Schizosaccharomyces pombe: one gene and its partners. The gene in region 3 interacts genetically with the main gene of each other region. Each region holds a gene or a part of one and is shown on either strand. Other genes may lie near its edges.

Region 1 (4,443 bases), on a different chromosome or scaffold from region 3:
CTGTCAGGATAGTGATTCAGTGGAAAAGAAAAACTTAAATGGTTCTAATTAGATTAGTGGTTTTCCGCCTTATAATCTTTCGTCCTTTTCGAGGTGAAGTAATGCTGGGAAAAATAAAATCGTGCAGTGAAGAAGGTATTCGGGGTATGTTAAATGTGTTTGTTTAAATGCTTGTTGTTAATGTTTTTCTCCCAGTAACTATTAGCTTTTTTGACGATATTTTCATTCCGAAAGATATGCTTTTCGATCCATGTGTCTTTCGTCCGGATGAGCGTGCCTGGGTATGGAAAATTGAAGGGGAGGACGGCTCAGAGGGAACCGAATTGTATTTTGACATTGATGAAGAAATACGCTTTCAAATAGAATCTGAGGACTTTGTTGATATTTCACCTAAGAGGAATAAAAATGCAACCGCGATTACAGGCACAGAAGCATTGGAATCGGTATCCCCATATACATTGATTGTAAGTTTTTTTTTTTATGTTTAGGGCGAAACTTGTGTCATTATTTATGAAGGGTGCACCATCTATTTGCTAGTATACAAGAAAATATTTTCTGCTTCTCTCAAATCGATAGAATTTACTAACTATATATTTAGGCTTCCTGTTCTCGTGATGGACTGGGCATTCCTGCTTGGTGGAAATGAGCTATTGGATTCGAATCAAAGTCAAACAAAATTTAAAAGCATCAATTAATCATTTACTCCAAATTGTATAAGTAGACTTTCATTCATGTTCTATTTTTCTTCATCTAATGCATCACCAAAATTTCCCAAAAATCACGTGGTCTAGAAAATGGTTGCAATTCTATTCTGTACATTCATCCCGTCTTATAAATTTCATTGCCGAAGGTTTTTGCACAAACCTTTTGGGGTTTTATTATTTCGTTGGAGATACCTGTGTTGTTTTTAGACATGTCCTACTTAAAGGTTGCTTTTAGTGAAAAAGGGTTATTTATAAATCAACTACTTCTTTTTTTTTTTTTTTTTTTAGCTTTTCTCTATTTAAAGGTATATTATTGTATCGAAAAATCAGTTTGTTTACATCTTTGCACAGCAACACATAATGGTTATGAAAACGGCGTTCTTCAAAATTTACCTTCTTGGATGATCATGGTATTTGCTAACAGGGGGCTACTTTAATAAAGGTACTTTCATGTCAAGCTTAAATTTAATCTGGTTAAAAGAGTCATATGTTCTAAAACTTTATATTCAATCTAACAACTGAAGATTCCGCACTGCGTAAAGGAATTTTTCAATGTTAAACAAACGATCCATGCTATGTATGATTTGATTGATTTTGGTATTGTGTATACTAATGTTTAGTAGTATTACCGAATATGGAAAATTTAATTAATTACACAAAAGAGCCGATTCATTTTATAGCATAATAGAATATCAGTCTACTTTTTATGAACAATGTTTGCTTCTTCAGCAAAGAATGTCCATCGCCAACCCACGTTACTCTTTAGTACAGCCGATTTTCGTTATATGTCAGAAAATAGCAACCTTAACATTTCAGCGCCTTGCTATTTGCTATTTGAAAATGACCAACAGCAATTTGACAAACTTCTAATTTTGTTGTATTTGTGCACAAATGCATGGACGTTATAAAGGATTCTTTCGGCTACTGTACTACTTTAGGGATAAACGAATATTTTTGCAAAATTAAAAATACACATACCCACAAAATCATTCACTTTCTTACTTCTAGTACTATTATTAATTTACGGAAACATGCATTAAGCAGCTTTTATGAGTTCCTTAAGCCTCGATAGCTTTTGCTTTACAAACTTTAATGAAACTTAGCAAATCCACGTGATTTGCCCCTAAAATGAATAAAGTTATGCCACATATTTCGGAATCACAAGCAAAGCGCAAGCACTTGACAAAATTGCGTAACCGATTACGCCTTCGGAGCTGACGTGAGTTATCGACTGAATATAAACACCTTATGCTGCTAATTCTGATTAGTCGACTGTATTTGCAAATATTTTCTACATAGGCTTGTCTTCCGTTAATTCTATTTTGTACACTACACCATTCTTTTTAGACGACAGCCGGTAGACTAAATTGTGCTTGTTTCTTGAACAATTAAAGTACATTGAAGAGTGCATATAAAAGAAATAAAAAATTTTTTTTTTTCTTTTACTTCGCTTGAGTCAAAACAGACTAGCACTTATTCTAGTACACTTGAAAGGTGGTGCTTGTTTGACTACATTCTTTGATATTGTAATCAAAAATTTTTTTTTTAAAAATTCCTTTTCTCCTGATTTACTTATTGAGGTGTTAAATTCTTGAAATTTTAAACGCGTTTTTTCCGCTCAACCTCTGTTTTCTTGTGTTTTATTAGGCTACTTTTTGCCTCCTTTTTTTTTCCTTTACCTTTAAAAAAACACTTCTCTTTTGCATTTTTGCAACTAAAAATGTTGACCTTAAACTCAACAATCAAGTCGGTCACCGGCTCATTTCAGTCCGCTTCCATGTTGGCTCGATTCGCCTCTACCCATCACAAGGTTTTAGTAGTTGGTGGTGGATCCGCTGGTATATCCGTCGCCCATCAAATTTACAACAAGTTTTCTAAATACCGCTTTGCCAATGACCAAGGCAAAGATACATCCCTCAAACCCGGTGAAATTGGTATTGTGGATGGTGCCAAGTATCATTATTACCAACCTGGTTGGACTTTGACTGGTGCTGGATTGAGTTCTGTTGCTAAGACCAGACGAGAATTGGCTAGCCTGGTTCCTGCTGACAAATTTAAACTCCATCCTGAATTTGTTAAATCCTTACATCCTCGTGAAAACAAAATAGTTACTCAAAGTGGTCAAGAAATTAGCTATGATTATTTGGTTATGGCAGCTGGTATTTATACTGACTTTGGCAGAATCAAGGGTTTAACTGAGGCTTTGGATGACCCCAACACCCCTGTAGTTACTATCTATTCAGAAAAATATGCTGACGCTGTTTATCCTTGGATTGAAAAAACCAAGTCTGGAAATGCCATTTTTACTCAACCCAGCGGTGTCTTGAAGTGTGCCGGCGCTCCACAAAAGATTATGTGGATGGCTGAAGATTATTGGCGTCGTCATAAAGTTCGTTCCAATATTGATGTATCCTTCTACACTGGTATGCCTACTCTTTTCTCGGTTAAGCGCTATTCTGATGCCCTTCTTCGCCAAAATGAGCAATTACATCGCAATGTCAAGATTAATTATAAAGATGAGCTTGTTGAAGTTAAGGGATCTGAACGTAAAGCCGTATTTAAGAATTTAAACGATGGCTCTCTCTTCGAGCGTCCTTTTGATCTTTTGCATGCCGTCCCCTCTATGCGTTCTCATGAGTTTATCGCAAAGAGTGATTTGGCTGATAAATCTGGTTTTGTTGCTGTTGATCAATCTACTACACAATCGACCAAGTTCCCCAATGTTTTCGCTATCGGTGATTGCAGTGGTTTGCCAACTAGTAAGACTTACGCTGCCATTACTGCACAAGCTCCTGTTATGGTCCACAATCTTTGGAGTTTCGTTAATGGAAAGAATTTAACTGCATCATACAATGGTTACACTTCATGCCCGCTACTCACTGGCTATGGTAAGCTTATCTTGGCCGAATTCTTGTACAAACAAGAACCTAAAGAATCTTTCGGTCGCTTTTCTCGTTTCCTTGACCAAACTGTACCTCGTCGCATGTTTTATCACCTTAAGAAGGACTTCTTTCCTTTTGTTTACTGGAATTTCGCCGTCCGCAATGGTAAGTGGTATGGCAGCAGAGGTTTGATTCCTCCTCACTTTCCTGTTAATTAAAGATTCAATCATCTTTCTTGCGTAAAATAATGCAATCTGCTAGGCATGATTTAGTAGCAACCCTTATATAATTGAATGTTACCCCCTTTCCTTACCATACCTTTACTAGGTTTATCTTTGATTAGAAAAACAGTGTTGATTATTAAGTACTCTAAAGTTATGTACGTCTGTGAATGTTTGAATAAAGTTATTAAATAAATATCAACTTTTTACTTCTAATTTTAAATATGAATAAAAATAGTTTGTAATACATCAACTATAAACGCCAGTAAACTGCACTTACATTGACTAAAGTAGATGCAAAATTATTGTAATACTCTACTCACAATTCCAACTATATCGTCGAATATCATATATACAAAAATATATATATTTATGCATTCATATTTTGCTCACATTTATAGACTTACATTCAAATAAAGACAAAACACAATTCACTCATAACTACTTCCTTCCGCACGAATTGAATTCTAAGCCAGCAAATCAATCCTAAAAGAATCTAGAGAAAAAATGCTACTAAATTAGAAAGCACGGCGGACAGGGGAACGAATATAAGGGATATCCTTGTAAGCATCAACAGTCTTTTTGGCACGTTGAGCAACACCAGAGGTGGTGAAATGGAATTTCTCGTATAATTTG
Region 2 (5,621 bases), on a different chromosome or scaffold from region 3:
AATGAAGAAGTATACATAGGTGATAATCTCGTAGACATTGACATTGATATTGGTGTTTGTTTGTTTGGCAATGATTCTCGTAACTCGCGTATACGAACCATCAACTCTTCGATTTGGTTATTTGCGCATCTTTTAATAAGAGGCTGAGCTGTGTTCTGACATATCTTTTCAAACTGACTTTTTGCTAATCCATAATACATAATTGCTTGTGAAATTTCTCCCAAAACTTCCTGATTTTCCCCATCTCGGGCGTATTCATGCGCCTAATTTTGTTAACATTCACATTCAAAAGCGAACGATAATTACGAACTTCAAACACTAAATTTACTCATATCCTTATCTCTTTAAGCATCTCTTACCTTTCTTAATGAATATCGAACCATAACACATTTTAATAATATACTGTTGTTGTGTAAGGAAGTGGCCAACTTATGTTGTCTACAAATGTGAACGACATAATACGGTACATTAACTCAAAATAAGTTTCTAGAAGACAATTCCTTCAAAAAAAAAACTAATAAAGTGATAGACACCAAATTAAACATTAGAGTTATATTCGGACTAAAACTGCAACAACAGTACTATCATGGAAATTATAAATTAGAATTGAATCGTAAGGTAAAAAATTCATTTACTACTTCTTTCTTTTAAGTAAAAAAGTAATAATATCGCTGGTGATAAGCTTTACTCATAAATTTAAATAGAATTAACTATTGTTTCGTAAGGGAATATTCGCCAAATAGAACCTTCATAGTAGAAGGATTTAATGGAAGGTATAACATGTAACATAACAATGGGTTTTAACCGGTCGATAACCAAAATAACATAATAAGAGAATAAAGCTAAAGGCAACTAAAAAAGTAGACAAAGTCGATTATTTTTTTCAAGCAAACGATAACTTAATTTTTATGAATGGAAAGGTTTTCGAAAGCAGGAAGAGATTCTTCCTTGATGCCGGCAAAGAAAACATCAGGAGTCGTACAAGCACCAAGAGCCCGACGCATATGCGAATTACAGAATGTAAGGCCGACTTCGTAACTGGCATTAACCCATCCAAAACCTTCGCGAGCAACGCCTTTGATATTGACACCCTGATTACCATACTCAGCTTCAACACGATGTGGATCAACTGGTCTGGTCAAATCATATTTTTCAACAACAATACCATTAAAATCAACAAACGATTTAGTAATAGTATATAGCCAACGATATACAAGTCTACGAGTCTCCTCTTCATATCCGTATCGAATCAATCCATACCAAGCTAAAATCTGCTGAGGGCTCCAGCCATTAGGATAATCCCATTGACGGCTGGGATTATCAAGACCCACTTTACCCAAGCTTCTCTTTGTACCAGCAACTATACCTCCAGCAACTTCAAACTTGGGAAGACTAACATCAACAAATTTTGCGGCTTGACGGGGAGTTGCCACACCGGCCCACAAGGCCCAGAAAGCAGTAGCACTTTCATAAGTACTCTTCGTTTCTAACTTCGTGTTGTAATCATACCACATCGAATCAGCTTCTGACCAAAGATACTTTTCCATTGCAGCACGACGAGCACGAGCACGACGATCCCAAATGGCAGAAGTTTCTATAGTTCCGTTTGGAAGTACAAACTTGTCATCGAAATATTCTAAAATCACATGTGAGATGTCGGTTTCATATTTGTATAGCAACGAGTTCAGATCCACGGTGGCCAAGTCAGCACAAACTTTTTCCAACCGATAAGTAGTATCATGCCCGCTTTCGCGAACTGCGCGGTCGTGCACGAAATACTCATCCAACGCGGGTTCATGAATTTGTTGGTAATTGTATGCATGAGTAAACTCCTCAAGAGTCATATGATACTTCTCCATGTAAGGACGAAGCAAATGCTCAAAATGAGAAGCTTCAGTTTCCGGAGGAATACCGAGTCCTCCAGGGCGATAGCGGGAAAGACCAGTTTTGGGATCCAGTCGTGGAGTGGCAGTCCAAACAGTGTGATATTCTTTTATAGTCGCAGAAAAGGCCCGATGCAAAAAGTCTAAAGATCCTTCTTCGTTTTTTATACGTTCATAAACTCGAAGGGCCATATCGGTCAAAAATGGAGGCTGGGAGCGAAGAAGATAATAAGTGCGGTTGGCATTCAAGATCTTACCGTAATAGGTAATTTCAAAAATAAAATTCTCCACCATACCTTTCGCCAAGTCAACCCGATCGTCAACAAGCAAACCCAGTGATTCAAAGTAAGAGTCCCAGCCGTACAGTTCATTAAACCGGCCACCAGGAACGACAAATGGCACACCTCGAAGATGTGTATTGCCTTCATCATCTTGGTATTTTTCCATTGCAAGTGCAAGTAACCCTGGCTTATCATTTACATCTCTCACCCATTCTGGAGTAATCTCTTCCGGCAGATATTCGACCTGTAAATTCAAGTAAGGCCTTTCCTTAGCAGCGCGAACATAGTATTCATACATCTCTTGTTCGGCTTTAGGAACATAAATTCGATTCACGTGTGATCCTGATCGGTCTTTGGTATCACGGCAAATAACATCCAAAACACTGGCATCGATTCTTCGAGTAAGGGCATCCCAAAAGGTACCTTTGATGAGTCTAGAAAGTCGGTTCACAGGGTTTTCATTAAGTCTTCGCTCATCAAGTAAAATATATCGACGTCCATAATCCTTTGCCAAGGTCAATTCCTGAAGTAAATTTGACAATTGATATGTGCCGCGAAGCTCATACAAGCGATATCCACCCGAGCTAGCGCTGCCAAGGGAAACAACTTTAGGTCCGGTATCCTCGATGGTGATTTGCATGTTCCGGTCGGTGTCTTCAGATTCCAAAAGTGCATTCAATGTCTTATCAACATCAACAAGAAATTTTCGTGGTTGTTTATGTTCATCAAGACTTCCACGTCGACGTAAATTCTTTAATTCTGGTATAGTTGGTGCGGCGGATGCCTCCATCGAAGTGGATAAGGTGCGAGGACGGCCAGCACTTACCCGAGTCGACAAGTCTGTATCCTTGGAGTAATAACTCTTAGCGGTTGCAAAGGGATTGTCATCATCATTTGAAATGGCTTCTGTATCCACGTATTTAGAGGAAAATTTCGAAGGCATATGAAACAAACTTATTCGTGTTAAATATTTTCACTATTAGATCAATGTATATATAAACTTCTTTAAAAATGTATTTTTTTTCTCTTTATTGTTCCTATTCACGAATGATAGCAAATGATGGAGAACAAGGTTATTCCGTTGATGGCTTCCGTTTCCTTCACTACAAGCTAACGATATATCAAAAATTCAAAAGCTCCTACGAGGAATACGCTCACTTTCCAAAGCAATTCACAAGATAAAGTGTTTTTTTTTTTAAAAAAACAAAACAAAACAAATTCCTGCTTTTTCGTTCTAAGCTATAAAATAGCAAGCAAGATTTCAGAAAATCGACACTAATTACGTATAAGGAAAATCCGTGTCTTTAACTGAATTTGAGTAACTCTACCAAATTCTTAGTACCCCAATAGGTATAAATCGTTAAATCCTAAAAAAATTTTAAAAGAACTGCTAGTTTCTTCTATGTATCAGTCTATAATCCTGTCGTTGATATTTGTGGTTTGGAGTTGCTAAGTTCTCATACATTCTAAACCAAATTTACGCTGATGTAGTTCGTTACTCAATGACGTAGTCTACCTGACACCTATAGAGCTTATGGAAGTTTAAGGATGCGGCAATAGGATAGCAGCAACGGTGAACACCATCGCTATAATCAAAACAATGAGCTGAAACATAGAAAGAAGATACGAGAAAATTGGCTAATTAAGATACAACAGTAAAAAAGGTATATACGGACGCCTCTGAAACAGTTATCACTGATTTTAGTGGTACTATTGAGAAGGTAATGAGTTTTGTAAAGAACCACAATATTCCGTATTTTTTAACATTGAGAATGCTCTATTGACTCGTTATATACCACGAGATGAAACCCTATGTATGTGTAGTTTGAATGCGGCACTGTATGTTGTTCTATCGGTTTTTTTTTTAAACTTGCACTCTTCTGGTTTGAAATGATTTGGCTGTTATAATTACAAGTTGCAATTCGGTTAATTAGCGGTACTTACCTCTTCTATGTTAAGATAAACATGTACTTTTAATGAAGAAAGTATACAAATCTGACGAAGTATTGGGATAAAAGACTCTGAACTAACCGATTTACGCAATATTAATAGAAGCTAATCTGACAGCTTTAAATTTCAAATTTCAGATTGTATACAGCCAAAGTATACACGTACGCATTTCGAAGTAGACTGGGTTTGACGTGTGCGAGATAATGAACATAATAGATATTTTTTAGAATCTTTTAATACTTGCGCATAAAATGTTACGTATGAACAAGCATGAATTGTTTCCACAGCTATAGATACAGCACTTATGTTTACCTATATCTAAACTGTTGCATTGAATCATTCCTACATAAACCTAAAAAACAACAACACAGGGATATCAAAATTGCTTGCTTGCGAGCTTTTCTATGTGCACTTCTAAAATTGCCCAGCTCTACTTAATACTTTCAGAAAGTCCTACCTTAATAAAATTCAATTTCACTTTAGCAAAATAACTGAGTATAAACATAAAAAATTTTTTAACGGTATCGACTTAATATCTATTGCGCAATATACTCACATAAAAAGCTCATAAACAAATATTTAGTTCCATGTTTCTCAGTCTCACCAACCAGGACCGCCATGACCTCCAGGACCACCCCCAAAGCCTCCGGGGCCTCCTCCAAAACCTCCAAGACCGCCTCCAAAGCCGCCAGGACCGCCTCCGAAGCCACCAGGACCGCCCTCAAAACCTCCAGGGCCGCCTCCAAAGCCACCGTGACCACCATGATGATGGCCTTCACCTCCAAAGCCTCCAAAGCCTCCAAATCCACCAGGACCAGGAGGAGGACCGCCAGAACCACCACCAAAACCTCCGAAACCACCACCGTTATGACCACGATGGTGAAAGAGATTGCCAAGTGCGTGTGAAGCCAGGCCACCTAAGGCCAATCCACCTAACCCTGCAGCGACAGGAGCAACGTAGCTTGGTCTACTGTAAGAGTTGCCAGTGGTGTAGCCATTAGAAGAGGTAAGCCCACTGAACAGCCCTTTATCACTACCATCTGCATTGGTAGTGGTAGTGGCAGCAGCATTAGGATAGTATGCAGCATTGGTATTGGCAGGGGCATTGGGGTTATATGCAGCGCTGGTAGTAGCGGCAGCATTGGTAGTCGTGGCAGTGTTAGCATTGGCATTTGCAGCAGTATTAGCATTGTATGCAGCATTCGTATTCGCAGCAGAAGTATTGTTATTGTTATTATACACAGCTGTATTAACGCTTGTGGCTCCTGGAGGAGGAGCAAGTTTCAGATTTTCGACTGGTGGTTCCCATTGGGGCTGTGGATTTTGAGCTGACTCGTTAACATAAAAGTATGTTCCATATTCAGCATCCCATTGAGCAACCCATCCACTGGGCAAACCTTCACGAGTTTGATAGACAGACATTTTTTATATGATTAATTCTGTAAAGACACAGAGTAAAAACCTATATAAACGATATAGAGGCTTAGAAAGATTCTAACCAAAGAAA
Region 3 (5,083 bases):
GTACCTCATGCAATACGTATAATTTCTGGTCCATTAGGGCTTGTACATCCAGATCCTCTGGTCGCTTCACACGCAAGGTCATCGATGCAAACAATAGAATCGCTGATTCATCCTAGGTTCCCACCTTTGCAAAAACATCTTTCACCAAGCGAATTTGAAAATACGTTTGAGTCAAGATTTGAGCCTGTTTCTCTTGAAAACCAATCGCATATTTCTCCACCCCAGGTGGATTCTCAATCAGAGTATAAAGAAAGTAGTATTTTGGCTCCATCAAATCCTCCCTTTGAAACAGAGTCGATTACAGATTCCACTGAAATTGAAGGGATCAAAGAGTCTTTTGCATCTACAGATACAGGCTTACAGAATAATTCTACAGCTACCTCCGAGAACAAAAGAAGCGAATCAGAGCTGACTATGTCTAATGTTCTTTCTAATGAGGGTGACAGAAATGAAGAAGGTAGTGAAATCAACTCTTCTCAACCTTCAACTATTAATCACGGGACTGATCACATTAACATTGTTTCGGAAAACAAGGAAACAACTGTTTCACTGTTGCATGGAGATGTTGAGGTTGAGGAGACTACAAATGTTGCATTAAACAATTCTCAGGACACTGAAACCAAATTTACTGCTATAGACGTTGACTTTGTTGACCGACCTACTAGTGTAGTTTCAAGCCAAATTGAAAACATAAATGGTGATGAAAATGGAAACACAACTTCTTCAGTCGTCGAAACTTTTGAAAAAACAACGGATGTCGTAGATGAGAAAACGACTTCTATTAATGTGGAAGGAAACGGAGAAGATGATGAGGAGGAAGACAATATCTCTTTGCCAAGTATAAACTTGGAATCTGATAGTGATAGTTAGTCTTAATTTATAAAAAGGATTTGGGGGTACTGAATGTTTATTTTAAATTCTATTTCTAGATAAGTAGGTTGTCATTTAATCCAAGCTGATTTTTATAAAGTCCTGTATGTATTATCGTCATGGCAAAAAAGGTACATCAAGCTGATATTTGGAGGTTAAAATCAATTGATTTTGACCTCCAGAATACATTGCTTATGTGTTCTCCTTTTTAATTAGCTAAATTTTCCAGTAATACAAAGTACAAAGTCTTGTGTTATCCGCAAAAATTTTTAATTAATCATTTTTATACCATTGGTGTCACAAAAATCCCGATTATTTTAGAGTTAGACTGTCGTTTATGTTTTTTGAGAAAGAATTAAAACAACTTATCTAGTCTAGTGTTTAAAAGAATTTTATACTGTTTCATTAAGAATAATGAAGATATCCCTTTCCAAAGGCAAAAGAAAAGTCGATAACTATATAATGCAAGCTTCTAAACAAACTTGAATTAGTGATTGCAACATTTCTTTTGCCAACAATATTTAAATCCTTCATTGCTTGACACATGGTTTTATGAGAAAAATTAAGAAAGAACATTAAGTACTTCAAATAAATTTGTTGAAGGATCCAAAATTCTCCAAATAGACTTTTTTTATATGAAGATACCATTCATTCAGCTTTGACTCGCATGCGAGCTCTCTGGACAATAAACGATCAAGCCAGCGAGGTATACTGTAACCATAATATCACGAATAGTACAATAAACTTTTTTTTAAAAAAATCTAAATGTACTAACCAGAGAAGCATAAAAGAGCTCTTATAGTTCCATAAAGGATACGTTTTATCCACATAGCACTCTCTTAAAATTAAATGCTGGAATGTCGTTTTGGATAGATTATGCAATTGTGCAATAGTAATTCCTTAACAACTGATAGTTTTTGTTCAATTTATCATTCTGTTTTATTCATCCTGGATACCTTTAACTCCATGTCAGTATTTTCTGTTGTACGGCCACGAGAGTACGGATTTTTGAATTGGTTTCAATGTTAGGATCAATTACTAACGTTCCATTTCTTAGTTTAAGAGACGCATACTTCATTCACATCTTCTAATCCTGACTGTTCTAGATAAGAAGTCATCTTAATTCGCTACGTTAACAACATTATACATTAACTACACACATATTGCCAAATTTTAGTAATTCATAACAAGAGTGTTTTCCAGTAAAGGAGTTGGATCTTGAAATGTACCACTAAAATAGATGATTTTGAAATAAAAATGGAATGGATGGAATTATGAAAAACGACTTGTTATGGTTCGGCAACCACGTTTTCGACCTTACGCCAAATTCATTTGATTCTGATTTTGTCGAGCAGCTTTCGAAATTTGAGGGAAAAGAAGGATTGAAGAGGAAGTTATTTGACTCCTCGGAATACTTTCAAAACTTTTCATTTCAAGTAAACGATGATCTGTTGGGAAAAGATGTCATTCTCGATATTTCAAATCAACAACTAACACCCGCTGTGCCTGGGTGTGAGACATCATCCAATTCCAAACTCATAAGCGCATCTAAGGAAATTACTTCAGAAAGAAAAAGAGCTAAATCCTCAGTGTCCCCCTCTTATCTTACAGATTCATCACCCAGCGATTTATCTGTCGAAAACAAAGTTCTGCTAACATGCCCTAGCTGGGATGGAGAAAATTTTAAAAATTTAGAAGCTAGATCTCCATTCATATCTGAAGCGCCTTCTCGGGTATATGATTATTTTCTTCATAATCAGGATTGGAGTCCGAAACCATTATTTTCTGCACTGCAAGTTTACCCTTTAGCAACTATTTTCAATTGCGTGGCTGGTTTACCACAAGGATTTGAAAGCACAGTGTTTCCATGGAACAAAACCTCAAGCACATTTGAACTCGATCCGACCATCTCCGTTTCAGGAATGTCCGATGAATGTTTTGCTAGTATCGTCCAGAAATTTTCTGCAATTGGGGGTTTAATAAAAAAAGCTTTAAATGAATTCTCTTTATACAAGACCAACATTTCTTTTTATTTATCAAATTTCATTGTGAATGGTGTCTTGCAGTATCGAAAGGAGTTTCAGCGTTGGCTTCGTCTTTATGAGTTCCGTAGATTCGGTCTGATTGGTTTAAGTAACTTTGTTAATTCTTTTTCTTCATTCTTTGAGTTAATTTCACACTTCTTAATAAAATCGGCTCAAAACCTAAAAGGAGATTCCTTGTTAGATTTTCTTTTTGATTATGCGCGTTCATGTCAGAATACCATATCTTACCCCATTGCCCTACAGTGCTTGATATATTGCTCAAATCCCTACTTCAAAAGGCTTGAGCTTGCTTTAAAAGTTTCTTGTGCGTATGGTCACATTGATTCTTCATTGTTCTTATCACTTCCCCGTTTTTTTCCTTCTGAACTTTGTGTAAGCATTGAACAGTGTATTCAATTTTTGTCATTAATAAGGGAACAAAAAGAAATATTTAATAAAAACAACAAAGAATTTATTAACCCTTTGAACATTCGGTTCGCATATTCTTTCAACGACATAAATCAAGCTTGTGTAATAGAGGAGCGCTGCAACTTTTCTTCGCTTTCTTTTGGTAATTTGGAACAAACTTCCGTCAATAATGACAGTGAAGAATTTGAAACGCTGCTTGCTAAAATGAACATGACTCCAGATTTCAACGATAATTTATTACAACTTAAATTTACAGATGATGTGCGCAACGTCTGTCCGCTTAACTTGAATGTTTGCTGCTGTATTGCTGAGCCAATACAATCTTTTATTCTCAGTTTCTTACGTTCGACATATAAAGTTTTAAAAAACGATTTTCAGGTGTTTGATCTTTTAAATTTTTTTCATTCCACTTTTCTTTTTCAAAATTATGAATTCTCTGATAATGTCATTTCTCTGTTAAAATCAAGAAGGCTTGATAAATCTGACCGTAATGAGTTGGCTGAGGACTTGAACTCTGATGACAGATATAATTTTATTTCTCGATTGAAAAAATTCATTTTTATGGAAAAAGAAAAAAATGGGTTGAGCAGGTCTTTATCTAAGAGTATAACTTTTACATTGGATTCTGCGAGCGTTAGTGAATTTGAGGATGTGTACCCTGATTTACAATTCCAATGCCAAGTAATAGGTGCTTTACGGATATTATTTACTGATAACTCTTTAAATTATTATTCGAAAACTTTTTCTTACGTTTTACATCTCTTTCAAGCTCAATCAGACTTTGAATCATCTGTCGAATTGAAAGATCGTTCTATAGTAACAAAAACAACTATTATGTCATGGTCTAAGTATCAAGGCACGAAAGAATCTCTTTTTCAGTTTCTTTCAATATACATTCCAGAGTGTATGTTGCCTTTTACGAAATTACTGAAATCCATATATTCTCCTGACTGTCCTACGAACATACAAAATTCTGCAATTAAAAATGCGGCTTCAGTTCACGAGCAGTGCACTAAAGCAATTTATCAAAAGGTCAAAGAGTTGTTTGATACCATGAAACTCTGGGAGTCATCCATCAAAGTGTCATAACAAAAAACCAGATCCGGATGACGGATTTTTACGAGTGTAAACATGCTAATCTCACCTTTAAGTTTGAAGAATATACGATTTTACAGCAGAAAAAAATTTATAAGCACAACACTTACAGAAAATTCCTTGCATAAAATGATAAAGAATGTAAAGAAGTATTTGGATAAATTCATGAGTAAAGTATTTACTAGAGATATATCTTAATCTAAGTTTAAACAACCTGTGCCAAACAAAAGGAAATTAATTTAACAAAGAAAGGGATGAAGAATTAAAAGGAATCAAAATAGAAATGAACAGTCAAGCTTATGATTGATTGTTTGAAGATCAAACATATCAAGGTAAAGTGCCATGATCACAGGAAAATACGCAATGTAGTTTAGTAAGTTATTTTGGTGCAAAAATATATGCGCTTTAATGGTGGAACATACCAGTATGTCCCACTTAATTTGCTCGTTCAAAAAATGCATGCAAAAAAAAAAAAAAAGATACAAATCTGTAAATACCTCACGCAAATATAAGAGTGCAAATAAAGACATGTTGAGAAAAGAGTAGAGGCAAAAGCCAAAAGATAAAAATCTTACTGGACGCCTATCACTTTGGTGAAGTTGAGGGTAAACGGACAAGGAATGCATGAAAAAGGAAGGAGGTAAGTGATAATTTAATGTTAGCAA

Evidence for each region.
Region 1: mutations in alp16 (region 3) and hmt2 together harm fitness more than expected from each alone (negative genetic interaction), as found in Schizosaccharomyces pombe (one large-scale study listed by BioGRID).
Region 2: mutations in alp16 (region 3) and ntp1 together harm fitness more than expected from each alone (negative genetic interaction), as found in Schizosaccharomyces pombe (one large-scale study listed by BioGRID).

The regions. Positions count from the first base shown.
Region 1 is NC_003423.3:2,588,461-2,592,903, reverse strand, and holds hmt2 (sulfide-quinone oxidoreductase), read left to right. Parts: upstream 1-1,970; 5' UTR 1,971-2,424; coding exon 2,425-3,804; 3' UTR 3,805-3,900; downstream 3,901-4,443. Other genes in the region: DNA-directed RNA polymerase III complex subunit Rpc25, read left to right, coding at 58-144, 196-464, 599-646; tkt1 (transketolase), read right to left, coding at 4,326-4,443. UniProt on the Schizosaccharomyces pombe protein: Catalyzes the oxidation of hydrogen sulfide, with the help of a quinone.
Region 2 is NC_003423.3:204,564-210,184, reverse strand, and holds ntp1 (alpha,alpha-trehalase Ntp1), read right to left. Parts: upstream 3,605-5,621; 5' UTR 3,108-3,604; coding exon 900-3,107; 3' UTR 544-899; downstream 1-543. Other genes in the region: protein Atg38, read right to left, coding at 1-263, 360-383; protein wwm2, read right to left, coding at 4,715-5,536.
Region 3 is NC_003421.2:431,724-436,806, reverse strand, and holds alp16 (gamma tubulin complex GCP6 subunit Alp16), read left to right. Parts: upstream 1-2,020; 5' UTR 2,021-2,132; coding exon 2,133-4,412; 3' UTR 4,413-4,543; downstream 4,544-5,083. Other genes in the region: ribosome biogenesis protein Rix1, read left to right, coding at 1-870. UniProt on the Schizosaccharomyces pombe protein: Component of the gamma tubule complex that is required for the regulation of both interphase microtubules and mitotic bipolar spindles.